3 linked regions of the Saccharomyces cerevisiae S288C genome follow. Changing the gene in region 2 together with the main gene of any one other region gives a genetic interaction. Each region holds a gene or a part of one and is shown on either strand. Other genes may lie near its edges.

Region 1 (2,852 bases), on a different chromosome or scaffold from region 2:
TACCATGGGTATTGGCAGCAGCTACATTCAAGTATTGGGCTCCACAGACATCACAGAATTTGGTCAATGCCACTGAAAATGATTTACTGCCAGCTGATTTCGTCAAGTCATATCACAATACTTGGAAACGAATTTATGAGGAAGGATATGTTGCCAAGAAATGTGATTTAAAACGTCAAATCGATCAGACATTACAAAAAAATATAAGGTATGCAAGGGAACAGCTTTATGAAAAGTTGGAGCAAGCATGATATCAAGCGGATATCTTTTTTTGTTCATTATCATGTCCATAGTAAGTATGTCCATATATAAATCGGATAATTAATATTCTATAAAATTACCCATTAAATAAATTTCATTTATTTTGAATTTCATTTCGTGTGATCTTTAGAAGTTGGTTCGCGAATGGGCCGTGCATCCTGAAACATTTCAAACTTTAGGTAAATGGTCATAAAGCTCAGTGCTTTTTCTTTATCTTTTGCATTTTTTTTTTCTTGCCTCTACTCCAAAGCTGTCAGTAACCAACTTGGTGCTTTATTTTTGTCTATTTTTACTAAATTAGTGTCGAAAGCTTCTATAAGCAACTCTACAAGAATTCTACCACCTCTGCTACCAGTAAAGCGTCTATATTCTTCGGATACACTGGCTAAGTTCCAACCCATTATTCTTCTGAGACATCCAATGACTGTCCCAGTCCTATGTCTTCCCATACCACAGCACACTAGCAAGGGATAATTCTCTTGAGTGACGATCGTTTGTAGTACATTAATTATAGAATGTTCAGTGAGACCGTCCCATGGATTATCGTCCTCACCGGCATCCGGGTTGATGGCTGCGAATTGTAAGTTTATTCTATGAGTATCACAAAACTCTAGGAGGGTATCTTGAGGTTCTTCGTTAGACAGCCATATAATTGTTTTCAGTTTTAGGTTTAGTAAAAAGGGGAAATTCACAGGTGAAGGCTGACCAGATCTATAGAGGTATCTTTCAACGGGACAGAAATTCAAAGGTGGAACGATACGTTCTTGTGGGGCATGTGATACCAAGACCTTTTCGCGACCAGATTCTGTTTCTTCATTGATATATATATGATCATCATCGTCGTCTTCTTCCTCGTCTTCGTCTTCTACTTCTTCTTCAGGTACGGATACGTTCTCTTCTGTGAGGCGGGACTCATCCTCTGGAACGTCCTCATATTCACCAACTTTAGATGTCATTCTAAGGGGAAAGAGAAGCTTGTTATTCCAGGTGGAACACCTCTTTCTTGTGAAAATGGATGTGATTGATGACTCTCTGCAATGTCCAATTTTATGTTATAGCGATGTTGTTTGTTTTTTCCTTTACCCGGCAACCATATGATATTGCCCAAAGTTTCCAATGTTAACAAGAATGAAACGGAAATAGCAAATGGCAATAAGCAATATAAAAACAGTCACTTTTTTATTTACTTTTGTATATATTTATAAATGTGTGTACTCGTTTCAACTTTATAGAGTTCTTTTCGTCTTAGCGTTTCTACAACTATTTCCTTTTTATTAACTTATAATACAACAGCCACCCGATCCGCTCTTGGAGGCTTCACTGGTGTTACCGCCGGGTGCAGCTTGCTGCTTCCTAGCCTGTTTAGCATTTGAAACTTGACCGGCCTTACTATTATTATTTACACGATTATTAACCGTATTAGCGCTTTGAGCGTTGGCCTGACCAGCTTGGCCCGTGGAATTGTCTATATTGGTGCGATCAGTTTGTGTCTTACCATTTGTCGCCTGGTTGCCTGCCAACCCTGTCTTACTCTCTATGCTTGCATTCCTGGCATTCACGACAGTTGTGCTACTGTTCACATTTTTACCGTTGGCAGCATTGCTCATCTTCCTGTGGCCACCGCTATTTCTAGGCACAGAGTTGGCACCGCTCCCTTTTGTATCTTGAGAAGTTTGCTTGGAGTTGTCATTTTCCGTCAAAGTCTTGTTGTACTTGCCGCCTTCGTCTCTAACTAAACGTGCTAGAGTGTAAAACGCCTCTTCCACGTTGATTGCTTGCTTAGCAGATGTCTCCAAGAAAGGAGCGTTCATTTGCTTTGCCATGTTCAACCCGTCCTGGTAAGAGACCTGTTTTTCGTTTTCTAAATCAGATTTGTTACCAACAACCACAATTGGAACATAGTCGGTATCTTTGACTCTCAATATCTGTTGATAGTAAGTCATAAGCTCATCAAGAGACGACTTGGACGTTATAGAGTAAACCAATAGGAATCCTTCGCCGTTGCGCATGTATTGTTCCCTCATAGCAGAGTATTCTTCCTGCCCTGCAGTATCCAAAATGTCCAATATAGACACTTCATCATCAATCACCACTTGCTTCCTGTATGAATCCTCAATTGTGGGATCGTATTCATCTACAAAGTGCGATTGGGTCAATTGTATGGTCAAAGCAGATTTACCAACACCACCACCACCAACGACGACTAGCTTGTACTCTCTTATGTTCGACTTGTTCAAAGGCATTTTTTTTTCTGTATATCTCCTTTCAATTCGAAAACGGTTAACTTGGTTTTTTTATCCGTAATTCTCTCGTATCTTTCTGCTCAAGTAATTTTCTCCTAGTTGATTAATATAGTGCAGAAGAGTCAGATAAAGAGTGGATGAATAAAATGGAAAAAAAACAAAAGCCGGATTGCGTTACGCTTGAAATGAGCGATTCTAGGCGATAAGAGAAGACAACGGCTAAAACTTAAGATGTTGGGGTACTATAAATGTTTACCCAGATTTTCGGTAGAAATGTTTGCTGATGTGAACCTTGTTTCCCGTTTTCCCAGATCCCCTTATTCCAGCTTTGTTTCGTCTTTGCTGTCA
Region 2 (9,510 bases):
AACTGTCATTTTAATCGTACATTTTATATTAGGCCTAATGTGCTGACGATCAGTCATATTTCAAATGGCCATCAACACAGTTCCAAAAGTCTGTGATATATTTTGTTTGTTCGTCACTTTCGTTATTAATTGTTCCCCTCACAGCCAAATATGTCCTATTGTCGACATCAATACTCCATTCACCTGGATTGGCACCTACTACACGACCGCCCACTTCTTTCAAAATACACCATCCAGCACACACGTCCCACGAATAGCAACCACCATCCCAATAACTATCAAGGTACCCCATAGCAATATATGCCATTGTCATTGCAGATGATCCTAAATTTCTGAATCCATGAACAAAACCGTAATCACATGATAGTAATTTTTCATATGTGGCCATTTTTGTCTGAAAATTCTTTCCCTCTCTAGCGGAACCTGGCTGTAATGCCACTACGGATTTATTTAGTATTAGAGAACCCATAGATTCCAATTTTGATTTATAGTCATAGTCCTTGTTGTTAACTCTCATCCCATTTCCTTTAGAAGCGGATACCAGAAGATTAATGTGAGGATTATATATAACGCCTACTACGGGCTCTTTGTTTACTGTGAGCCCAAGAGAGGTACAGCTAAATGGGAAATCATGAACAAAGTTTGTAGTCCCATCAATTGGATCAATAATAAAGGTAGGATCATCAGTAATCACGGTCTCCCCTTTCACATAACTTTCCTCTCCAATAAACTTGAAAGTTGGATATTGGGTTTTTACCGATTCCCAAATTAACTTTTCGACCTGTTTATCGATAGCAGTTACAATATCAACGCTCCTGGAGCCAGTCTTCAAGTCATAATCCTTTTGAGTGCCGGACTTGGATTTGATGATTGGTCCTACTTTTTCAGTAGCCAGTTCACAGAGGAATTTCTCGATAGAAGCTAGATCAATGGTCATGGTATATGTGTATATGCGTGTACCAGCTGTTGATTTCCTTATTCATCCAAAAAAAAGAAAACACTGGGGTTATTTAACAAGCAGTTAAATGTGAAGTAAGAGATAAAAGACCTATATTAATACCATTTTTGGAAAAGCAACGTGCGCAACAATGAAAGTCACTCGATGCATCCATTATTCAAAAAAAAGTTTTTTTTTTTTTTCCATACATCATCAGATGAAAAAATCTCGCTATGACGCACGCCAGTCAATATTCACTCAGTTCTTCCGAAAGGAAGCAGAAGAAAGTTCTCTATACTTGGAAATGTGTCAATGAAGATGTTATCAGATTCATTTTCTGCTAGCTACTATATTTCTACATAAGCAAGTAGTAATCTCTTTATTAATTACACGTGGTTTTGACTCATTGGCATATGTATATATTTGTGTTGTAGGTGCTCGTGAAAAAAAAAAGCTATTGATCATACTCATGCTCACGCAAGTAGGTAGCAACGATTTCACGATCTCTGCTCACCCATTGCGCCTTGGATCTAATAGTGTCTAAGGCTTGAGCCAGGGTTTGATCAAAACCTTTAGTGACCTTTCTACTATAGAACGCACTAATTTTTTCAAGGGCTTCAAAAGAGGTAAAATTAGTTAAACCCAATGTCAACACGCCACCCAACACAGGCGAGCCTGGCTGTAATCTCTTAGCAATTTCGTCCCAGTGTTCTTGCATCCAAGCCCATAACCTTTCAATACCCTTCTTATGAACTCTAATGCCTTGCATTGGGATGTAAAAATCTTGATTCAAAACTGTACCATCTAGCAGATAAGACAATGTCCTTTCTAAAAGTTCTTTGTCTTCAAATCTGCCCAAAGCTCTCAAAGCGATAATCTTTTCTTCTGACGAAACAGGGTTTTGATAGATGTTGAAAATCTTTTCGTAATTGTTTTCTCCGCCAAGTCTGGCAACGGTGTTGAAAACAACTGCCTTGAACAGTGCAGGTATGGCCTGTTTGTTCCCATTGGCGTATTCCTCAAACATTTCTACCGCAATCGATTGCATTTTTTCATTGCCAGAAGTGCATGCGGCACTGAAAAGGGTCACTTTTAAACGTTGGATAGCAAAGGAGTCGTCTTCGCCAATATTCCACCCCAATTCAGAAAGTTTGTTAAGTACTAGATCCAAAGTAAATTTATCTAGAGCATTCAATATATCCTCTGGTTCGAAGACCCAAGTAGATTTCAGAGCGGATAAACTATTAATGATTTGTTCCCAAACAACAAATGAATCCTCGTTTTTCCAATTAGAAATTAAATTCAAGAAGTTAGTAGTAGAGGTATAGCCAGATGCAGAAAGGGCTTTTGCATCTGCGACTAAGCCAACACGATCCTCTACGGATAATAAATTTGCCTGTTTGGATAGCTTAGCCCATCTTTCGTCAGAATAAGAGGTAATGAAAATACCAGATTGGTCACCATTAATCTTGAAGAACTCTTCATTCTTTAATTCGAAAGTAGCAGATTTTTCGTTCAATACCAATGTGTTATCGATACCTGTACTGTCTTTCAAAGCTAACAAAATGGGGTATATGGTTGTATCTTCCTCTTCTTTAACATCACCGGTACTTAAATAACGGTGTTGAGTTAATGTGATTTTGTTCTTGTGTTCCTTGACAGATAACACTGGAAAACCAACACGTTTTGTCCAGATGTTCATCACCGAACAAACGTCCTTGCCAGAGGCATCTGCTAAGGCGTCCCACAAATCTCCGGTCTTTGCATTACCGTATTTGAATTTATTCAGGTATTGGGACACACCTTTAATAAAAGTCTCTTCACCCAACCATTTGGAAATCATCCTCAATAAAGAAGATCCTTTAGAATAAGAAATAGCATCAAAAATTTGATTGATTTCGTCCGCATTATTAACGGGAACTTCAATTGGATGGGAAGATCTTAATGAATCTAAATTTAGAGCACGTTGTAAATTGTCAGTAACATATTGCTCCCAAACTTTCCATTCTGGTTGAAACTTGTTGCAAGAGTACCAAGACATCCAAGTGGCAAAACCTTCATTCAACCATAAGCCTTCCCACCAATCCATGGTGACCAAGTTGCCGAACCATTGGTGGGCTAGTTCATGCTGAATAACCTCAGCAACTCTTTGAATGCGATCTAAACTCGAATTTTCTATGTCTAATAACAAATCAATAACTCTATAAGTCACTAGCCCCCAGTTTTCCATAGCACCAGCAGAAAACTCATGAACTGCCACCATATCCATCTTTGGCAATGGATATTCTATGTTGAAGGTGTCCTCAAAGAATCTCAAGGTCCTAGCAGCTAAATTGGCTGCAAACTGACCAAATTTTTCGTCCCCTGGGGTAGAATAAACTCTTACTGGAATACGGAAATTATTGCTTTCCACGTATCTCAGGTCAGCTACAATAAATGCTACTAAGTACGTAGACATCTTTGGAGTCGTGTTAAAAGTTGTATATTTCTTACCCTCTTTGATTGTTTCATTCCTGACATCCATGTTGGACAAATGAGTCAGAAACGATTCAGAGACCAAAGTTACTGCAAAAGTCGCCTTCAAATTTGGTTCGTCAAAACAAGGAAAGGCTCTTCTAGCATCTGTGGCTTCCATCTGAGTAGTAGCCATGTACTTCGTCTCCCCTGTGACTTTATCCGTATACTTAGCCCTGTAAAATCCCGCCATCTGATCATTTAGAATACCGGAAAAGATAATTTCTAACTTCGCAGAAGGTCCTAGGTTTTCAAAAGTTCCATTAGGAAAGACAAGAGTAGCTTTTTGTTGGTTTTCGTTTTTGTTAACTTCAATGGCATTGACACCCTCAATACGTGCAGAATGGAAATCTATTTCTAAGTAATTTATTTGCACAGAGTTTATCGAATGATCATTAATCTGCAGGTCAATTTTTAATGACCCTTCAAACGTAAAAGCACGGAAATTAGGTTCTAGTGTAATGTCATAATGCAATGGGGTAACGTTGTTTGGCAGTACTTCACGGGACATGGTATTAGCTGAGAGGGCAATTTGGCTTGCTTGAACAGGAACCCTCAAAGAAAAATCACGAATTGAATAAGCTTCCCTGAAGATAATTCTAAATGATTAGCTAAGATTACTCATAAAGTCAAAAGTTTGATCGCTAACAAAAGGGAAAAAAACGGAAAAAAAATAAAAAAATGTGTCAAACTCCCACAGCCAAGTCCAAGAGTACGAAAAAAAACTTTCACAACGAGTTCAAAAAATGTGGGATGAAGACTCCCGTTTTTCACCGCCTAGAAAACAGCGTTTGCTGAGAAAAAAAATAAATCATCGAGAAGAAGTATGTCATCATAGGATGTTCCCATTGTAAGGTGATGTGTAACATACTCGAACAAAGAATGTATAGAGCTGAATATTTCTCCTTTAAATTTCAAAGAAAATGAGAAGGAAAATCTCAAACAGAAACTTCGTTCTTTTTCTCAAGTAAGCAAAAGCTTATTGAGACAAAGCGGAATAACTACGATATTAATAACGTTGATGAAGCTCGAACAAAGTTAGCGTCGGTTATGCTTGCCTATATAAAGATATATTTGCCTTACATTTTCGTTGAACGTAGAATGATTTTTGCTTTTAATAAATTTTTTGTTGTTCTTTCAGTGCTTCTTCAACTTTGATACGAAAGCAAGTGCATTAGTACAACAAGAACTGGCCACAACTATACTATACTCATTTTTTCTTGCCCGTGTTTTAAATGTTTTCATCCACAGCATTTGATGGGATGATTGGAAGTGAGACGTTCGAGAAAATCCATATTTTGAGTCAAGAATTCAGATAATATACTGAGATGATTAGGTATGGCTGGGTTCTACAAAAACACAAATATCCGGCTAGCAATGATCACTGAGCAAATTAAAGCGTTAACTCACTCATTATTGTAGCTTATGCGTTTCTCCTCCTCTCTTTTTTTCCTCGAACCGGAGTGGAAGATCCAATAACGTAATATTACTGATGTTGTTATTAAAGCTGGCAAAAATAACATGAGGCGTAAAACCGCACTGCGGTAAGATGAGGGTATAAGGTGGAGATCAGGCGAACAAGCTGTTCTAAATCATACATATGTACAATGAGAACGTGTAACGATCCAATGAGCGTTTCATGATGCCATTGTTTAATCAGAGTGATGAAAAAGAAATATTTGCGACCTTTTTTCGTTACATTGATCGTGAAATTTTAATCAAAGATAATATAAGGACGTGAGATATTTATCTTTTTACTTGAAATTAACAATAGAATTGCGCTAAGCGGAATAAGAGCTTTCGTAAACCTTTCTATTTGCACCATTGCGTCAACGTATAAAATGGTATGACCTTTACACAAACGCATGCTTATAATCTTATGTTTTTCATAGGGTGTAATTTGGTTGATGACGTAGTCTAAATTTGATGCTATCTGCAATTGAGGTACATATAAGAGGTCAATTTCGGGACCAACCCTTTTAATCGAAAAAAACGTAATTCACTAGGGCAAGGGAGAACTTAGCAGCTAATATCGTAAACCTTTCATACTAAAAAAATGCACTTACCATCAACAAAAAACTCAGGACCAATTTCCAAGCTTTTCTAGGTGATTGCCTATAACACAAAAAGATTCGCTCATACATGAGATTTTTACATGTAATAGCAATTTGTTCCGATCAGTTGAAGGTCATCAACGCACGGCAGGTACATCCACACCTATCACAAAGCCCTTCAATAATTCACCTACGTAAAGTTATACCGAAACATGCAAAATCCATGAAAAATTCTGTATGATAACGATCATATCCTTTTGTATTGGTGGTACGATGCTCAAAGATAGTTATTGTTGCACCTGAGGCAAAAGCGGAAATGAAAAATCCAGATGGGGCCAAAAGCAGAAGTATTGTGTACAACAATTGCTTCAGCAGTTTACCAAACCGTTTCCCAGCAATCATCAAAAGTTGCTTTAGCCACATTTCCGCAAGATATCTTTGTGGCTCAACGAAGAGGGCTATTCCAAATGCAATACAATACTAGCCGCTAGTGATCCATGCTTATAGGCAATTTGATTGATAACTGGCCGTTCTATTAAGGAGTCAATGCTAACCACATATAATGCATATAGGATTTGGCCTCTGCTGACCGTAATACTAGACAAGGAATATAAAACAACAACGTAACCCAGCATAAAAACGATATAAATAAAAAAAGAAACCAGATCATAAAGTTTGAGGGCACATCCCTCATGGTTTCAAAATCTCGTACATTGACTCAAACCTCGAGATCTTGTTTAAACGAACATAAGAACAGCGGTACCAAGTGACACATTGCGTACTGTGTAGTATGCGCCGTATATAACTTTTTTTTTCTGAAGGTACTTTGAATTACAATCTATTTTTTACAGTTCCTATGGCAGGGGTTGAAGATATTTGGGTCTGAACCATAGCAGGATTAGTGTTATAGTAGGTATGTGAATAGAAGCTAACAAAATGAGATGAACCTCATACAAAGTCGTAGAGAAAACTGCTAACAGAAGAGCTGCGCCTTGAAATCGTATCTCTAAGCTTATAATAAATTGAAAGGAAAAAATACGTGGTAAATGCAAGCGACCAAAAGGCTACGGCCCAACGCTAACCCGCCGATAGGTGCATAATCTAATTTACCTCCACCAGCAGGAGCCCTTTTTCTAAGTAATAAGCAAACCAGATAACTTACATCTTGCTGTAGGAAACAAAAGCCGGAATAATGGTTCACTCATATTCTTCGTGTGAAACACAGAAGAAATCCAATATTTGCTTCAGTATTTATCTCTAAAAATTGGTCCTACATTGGAAACCATAAACCAATTATAACCGGTGTACGAATTGTAAGCTAGTTCTGGAAATGTCATGTTGCGCAGGTAAAAGTGGAGCTGAATTGTATATCTGTTTTGATCATTATTATCCCTCTGGGTGAGTGGAAATATCAATAAAATGCAATGGCACATTTAATATCCTTCTCTTAATTCCGTGATTTATAACATCTTGATGCCAGAAACACCTTTCGGATCCGGCAATAAAGCGGAGATTAGCACGCTTTTCGCCGGTCCTACGGATTTAGTGTTGGCTATTGTTGAGATTAGTAATACGCAGAGAATTTTTCTACCGGTGAAGCGACCATCTCAGATTATTAGGTCAAGCAATAACACTTGTTATTAGATGCGTTACGTTCACCTGGACCCTATATAAAGGCATATTTGCCTTACATTTGGTGTATGGTATCACCTTGTATACTAAGAACATATATATGCAGATATAACAACAGGATATGGTTGCAGAATTTCAAATAGCGAGTGCACAGTCATCGGCATTGACATCTACTGAAGAAGAGCATTGTTCAATAAACTCAGACAAAGCCGCAAAACTGGATCTGGAATTGACCAGTGAACGAAAAAATGACGGCAAACAATCGCATGAAGTGACCTTCAACGAGGACATCGCGGACCCAGAAGATATAGCACGGCATATGAGCACCGCCCGCCGGTATTATATTTCCTCGTTAATTACATTCACATCGATGGTAATTACGATGATCTCGTCCAGCTGGACGCTTCCTTCAACGCACATAATCGAACACTTTCATATTTCGCACGAAGTCAGCACTCTGGGAATTACGCTTTATGTGTTTGGGCTCGGTATAGGACCTTTATTTCTGTCTCCACTAAGTGAACTATATGGACGAAGGATCACATTTTTATACGCCCTTACGCTCAGTATCATATGGCAGTGTTTGACCATTTGGTCCAAGACCATTACGGGTGTCATGTTTGGCAGATTTCTATCCGGGTTTTTTGGTTCAGCCTTTCTAAGTGTGGCTGGCGGCGCCATTGCCGATATATTCGACAAAGACCAAATTGGTATTCCTATGGCAATATACACTACATCGGCCTTTTTGGGGCCCTCTTTAGGACCAATCATTGGTGGAGCCTTATACCATCAAAGTTATAAATGGACATTTATCACACTTCTCATCACTTCTGGATGTTGTCTCGTTATGATCATCTTTACCATACCTGAAACCTACAAACCAATGCTGTTAATACGTAAAGCTAAGAGATTGAGGAAAGAGAAAAATGATCAACGGTATTATGCTGTCCTGGAAGTCACCCGCGAACAGACTTCCTTACTTTCCGCAATCTTTCTCTCAACCAAAAGACCCTTTGGCCTGTTACTTCGAGACCGAATGATGGGTGTGCTTTGCTTCTATACTGGATTGGAACTTGCCATAATATATTTATATTTCGTAGCGTTTCCTTATGTGTTCAAGAAACTTTACAACTTTGGGCCCATGGAGATTGCATGCTCCTATATCGGTATTATGGTCGGCATGATACTCTCGGCTCCTACTTGCTTGTTATTCCAAAAAACGTTTGAGTGGAGAGTCAAAAGAAATAATGGCGTCAAGACTCCCGAAATGAGATTCGAGCCTCTGTTCTACGGCGCCTTTTTGACCCCAGTTGGGCTCTTCATTTTTGCATTCACCTGCTACAAGCATGTCCATTGGATTGCACCAATTATAGGCAGTGCAATTTTCGGTTCAGGTGTTTATTTCGTCTTTACCGGTGTTTTTGCGTATACAGTGGATGCCTATAGAAGATATGCAGCTTCTGGAATGGCTTGTAACACATTTGTGAGATGCATAATGGCCGGTGTCTTCCCTCTTTTCGGACTCCAGATGTACAAGTCAATGGGAGTGAATTGGGCCGGCTTTCTCTTGGCAATGGTGACCGTAGCGATGATTCCTGTCCCATTTCTGTTTACCAAATACGGTGCCCGACTGAGAGCCAAGTCGCCGTATGCATGGGATGATTGATTTTTTTGCATATTTTTTCCTTTGGATGTTGCATAATCTTTTCCCGCTTACGTCATTGGTGATAGATTGTTTCGGATCTTCAAAAGGCAACACGCATAGGCCAAAGAAAAAAGAAATTTTGCATTTTTTCATTTTTGCATATTCTCGCATGTTTTCTTTCTTTTTCTCTAGTTTTCGAATGTTTTTGGCTGCAATGTATATTGTATATAAACCATAAAGGTGCAAAATGCCAGATGTACGCGGCCAATCTTAATTTTCTAGTAAAAGTAGCAGCTAAATCTGAAACTCTCTAGCTTGTAATAAACGAAGGATGACTGTACAAATTCCAAAATTATTATTTTTACACGGCTTCTTGCAAAACGGTAAAGTTTTCTCCGAAAAATCATCTGGTATTAGAAAATTATTGAAGAAGGCTAATGTCCAATGTGACTATATTGATGCACCAGTCCTTTTAGAAAAGAAGGACTTGCCATTTGAAATGGATGATGAAAAATGGCAAGCCACCCTAGATGCGGATGTTAACAGAGCCTGGTTCTATCACAGCGAAATCTCTCACGAATTGGATATCTCAGAAGGTTTGAAGTCTGTTGTTGATCACATCAAGGCCAATGGCCCATACGACGGCATTGTCGGTTTCTCTCAAGGTGCCGCATTGTCCTCTATCATCACCAACAAGATCTCAGAGTTAGTTCCAGACCATCCACAAT
Region 3 (4,013 bases), on a different chromosome or scaffold from region 2:
GTCCTTCTAGAAACCTTAGAGTGGCCCACAAAATATGAGCCTATTTTCGTTAATTGTCCCCTAAGATTGAGATCAGGAATCTTGCTTTACGGTTATCCTGGTTGTGGTAAAACGCTTCTGGCGAGCGCCGTGGCACAACAATGTGGGTTAAACTTTATCTCCGTTAAGGGACCAGAGATTTTAAACAAGTTTATAGGTGCCAGCGAACAAAACATAAGAGAATTGTTTGAAAGGGCACAGTCCGTCAAACCCTGTATTCTATTTTTTGACGAGTTCGATTCTATTGCGCCAAAGAGAGGGCATGACTCCACTGGTGTCACAGACCGTGTAGTCAATCAATTATTGACCCAAATGGATGGTGCCGAGGGCCTTGATGGTGTATATATACTAGCAGCTACAAGTAGACCTGATTTGATTGATAGCGCATTGTTAAGACCGGGAAGATTAGACAAAAGTGTGATCTGTAATATACCGACTGAATCAGAGAGGTTAGATATCTTGCAAGCTATCGTCAATTCAAAAGACAAGGATACGGGACAAAAAAAATTTGCATTGGAGAAAAATGCAGACTTGAAGTTGATCGCTGAAAAGACAGCTGGTTTTTCGGGTGCTGATTTACAGGGGCTCTGCTACAATGCTTATTTGAAATCTGTACATAGGTGGCTGTCTGCTGCAGACCAATCGGAAGTGGTACCCGGCAATGATAATATAGAATACTTCAGTATCAATGAGCACGGGCGTAGAGAAGAAAATAGACTACGGCTAAAGACTCTATTGCAGCAAGATGTGGTGCACGAGACAAAGACAAGCACTTCAGCTGCTTCTGAGCTGACAGCTGTGGTCACAATAAACGATTTATTGGAAGCCTGTCAAGAGACAAAACCTAGTATTTCAACAAGTGAGTTGGTCAAATTAAGGGGGATTTACGATAGGTTCCAGAAGGATAGGAACGGTGAGATGCCCAATGGTGAGAATTCCATCGACATTGGTAGCCGACTCTCCCTTATGTGAAAAGGAAGAAGAAAAGAACAAAGCGCGTTTCCCTTTAAAGGGCAAAAAATGCGGCGCACGTTGCTTATTACGTGACATGACCCTATTGTATTGTGCGAGCACGCAGGACGGGAAAAATATTGGTGAAATTACATAACGCATTTTTTTTCCCTTGTGGTGAAAAGGAAAAACCCGAGAAATATGCCAGTAACAGTGGAGACCGGTCAAGATGTATTGAACGAAATCCGAAGTTGCATATATAACATAAATGCCTGCTACCTTTTGATACTTAATTCTTCTTAGCACCTATACGCTTTTTTTTTCATTTTTCCTTATCTTTTCTTTTTCTCGCAGAAGTCTATACAAAGAAGAAATATATATATATCTATTTCTTTTTTTTTTCAACCGTATACCACCGGCAACAAACCTCCATGTATTCATAGGCCCTGCATTACATCAAGAAATATTAGCATAAACGTATAGACCATTTTAACGCCACAGGCAAGCATACGCATTAAATCGCACCACCAACCAATGACAGTCTCACACAATCATTCTACGAAGATATCCCAACAACCAATCTCCTCGGTATCAGCATTTAAGTTCTTCGGAAAGAAGCTGTTAAGTTCAAGCCATGGGAACAAGTTGAAGAAAAAGGCGTCTCTACCTCCAGACTTCCACTCTACAAGTACTAATGACAGCGAATCCTCCAGCCCAAAACTGCCGAATTCGTTGAAAACCTCTCGCCGTGCAAACTCTTTCGCTCACACAACCAACAGCAAGAGATCTTTATCTTCCGCCTCAACCAAGATCCTACCTCCGGCCGGCTCCAGCACGTCCATCTCAAGAGGAAACAGACATTCGTCCACTTCGCGTAATCTCTCAAACTCCAAGTTCAGTAGCGAACGATTAGTGTACAATCCATACGGCGTCTCAACCCCAAGCACGTCACTCTCGTCCGTCTCTACCTCCATGAAGAAAGACCCTGATCTGGGCTTCTACCTTCACGATGGGGATTCCAAAATCCGCATGCTGCCGATCCCAATTGTGGACCCAAACGAGTATCTGCCCGACGAGATGAAGGAGGCAAGCATCCAGTTGAGCGATAACTTCGTCTTTGATGATGAGAATAAGACCATCGGATGGGGCGGTTCGTGCGAAGTGCGCAAGATCCGCTCCAAGTACCGCAAGAAGGACGTATTTGCTCTAAAGAAGCTCAATATGATCTATAATGAAACGCCCGAGAAATTCTACAAGCGCTGCTCAAAGGAGTTTATCATCGCAAAGCAGCTAAGTCATCATGTTCACATCACAAATACTTTCCTTCTAGTCAAGGTGCCCACCACCGTCTACACCACTCGCGGGTGGGGGTTCGTCATGGAGCTAGGTCTACGAGATTTGTTCGCGATGATACAAAAATCGGGCTGGCGCAGCGTGGCCCTAGCAGAAAAGTTTTGTATATTCAAACAGGTGGCGTGTGGTGTCAAGTTTTGCCACGATCAGGGCATCGCCCACCGTGATTTGAAACCGGAAAATGTACTGCTATCCCCGGACGGCGTGTGCAAGCTGACAGATTTTGGTATCTCAGACTGGTACCACACGGATCCACACGACCTGTCCAGCCCTGTCAAGAAGTGCGCAGGGATGATCGGCTCGCCGCCGTATGCTCCCCCGGAGGTCATGTTCTACGACTCCAAGAAGCACTACGATACGGAATTGCAACAGCCGTATGACCCACGCGCTCTAGACTGTTATGGCCTGGGTATTATCCTCATGACCCTCGTCAACAACGTCATTCCATTTTTGGAATCCTGCAGCTTCGACACTGGTTTCCGCGATTACTGTGACGCTTATGAAAACTTTATCCGTCTTCACGATCGCGCATTCCGCAATCGCGGCAATTACCGCCCGGGGCCGGGAATGGAGTATCACTTGGCTAGAAATTTCAAGAACGGACATGCATCTCGCGTGGCATGGCGGCTCGCTGACCCAGAAGCCGCCACCCGCTACACCATCGACGACCTCTTCGAAGACCCATGGTTCCAAGGAATTGAGACTTGTGTTGATGCCAACGACAAATATGTGTGTAAGAAACCTATTATCAAAACCACTACGTACGAGAATCCGCGGGGTTTCCATATCGCTACAGATGTTGCTGCAACCACACCCACCTCAAACCCATTCCTTAAGAACCGAGTCCCCATCAGGTCAATGGTAGATATAGCCGCCCATCCTTCCCCAACGGCCACGGTTTTAGCGTCGTCGCCTCCGCCGCCTCCTCCGGCGACTCATGTGCCAGCCGAGGCCTTATTTACACTTAGGGAAACCCCGCCGCCCCAGCTAGCAACCCTCACGCTTAGCGAAGAACCTCCCGCAACTCCCGCACCTTCCGCACCTTCCGCACCTTCCGCTCGCGTCCGTGGCCACTCCCCGCACAGGGTAGTGCATCACCATCTGAACATTGTCAACAGCTTGGTCCATAGTTCTAGCGCGGCGTCTTCTCAAGTTCCGGCTTCGACCTAGCCAGAATGTGCAGCAGAGTAAATAATATTCACTTCCCTGTTCCTAAAGCGTACAATATACAACTCCAACTTCATATCAACTACCAGAAACAGTAACATACGTAATAGTTATTTTCTATATTTTTATTTTTTTTTTGCCACTGACCAGTCTTCGCGGCGGTGTGAGTTTCCGTCTGTACGCAGCATTTAGCAGAGATTTGCCAATGCCAAGAAACTCCGCTAAACTAACATCGCGATGCAATGGGCTTGGTATTCCGTGGAAGAAAATGAAAACCGGCGCAAAGAATCCTCCGAGAAAATTTGATGCGGTGCACGGATTTCAGCACGGGTTTCAGCACGGATTTTATTTCTTTGCACCCCGCAAATTTCTGGGCGATGATAAACATACCGCATCTAAAACCGTATACAGACTACGGCACAGAAGCCAAGACTAACAAAAAAAAAAAAAAAAAAAAAAAAGAAAAAAGAAAAATGTCACGTGTTATTCCTTGTGCCCTCTGA

What was found.
Region 1: mutations in AAP1 (region 2) and OCA1 together harm fitness more than expected from each alone (negative genetic interaction), as found in Saccharomyces cerevisiae (2 studies listed by BioGRID).
Region 3: mutations in AAP1 (region 2) and PTK1 together harm fitness more than expected from each alone (negative genetic interaction), as found in Saccharomyces cerevisiae (2 studies listed by BioGRID).

What each region holds. Positions count from the first base shown.
Region 1 is NC_001146.8:438,067-440,918, forward strand, and holds OCA1 (putative tyrosine protein phosphatase OCA1), read right to left. Parts: upstream 1,218-2,852; coding exon 501-1,217; downstream 1-500. Other genes in the region: MIC27 (Mic27p), read left to right, coding at 1-251; Ras family GTPase RAS2, read right to left, coding at 1,536-2,504; PLS1 (Pls1p), read right to left, coding at 2,731-2,852.
Region 2 is NC_001140.6:197,349-206,858, forward strand, and holds AAP1 (arginine/alanine aminopeptidase), read right to left. Parts: upstream 3,963-9,510; coding exon 1,392-3,962; downstream 1-1,391. Other genes in the region: inositol monophosphate 1-phosphatase INM1, read right to left, coding at 50-937; YHK8 (Yhk8p), read left to right, coding at 7,259-8,803; FSH1 (putative serine hydrolase), read left to right, coding at 9,114-9,510. UniProt on the Saccharomyces cerevisiae protein: Positive effector of glycogen accumulation. May be involved in nutrient-sensing.
Region 3 is NC_001143.9:67,732-71,744, reverse strand, and holds PTK1 (putative serine/threonine protein kinase PTK1), read left to right. Parts: upstream 1-1,524; coding exon 1,525-3,513; downstream 3,514-4,013. Other genes in the region: PEX1 (AAA family ATPase peroxin 1), read left to right, coding at 1-1,011. UniProt on the Saccharomyces cerevisiae protein: Essential determinant for low-affinity spermidine transport.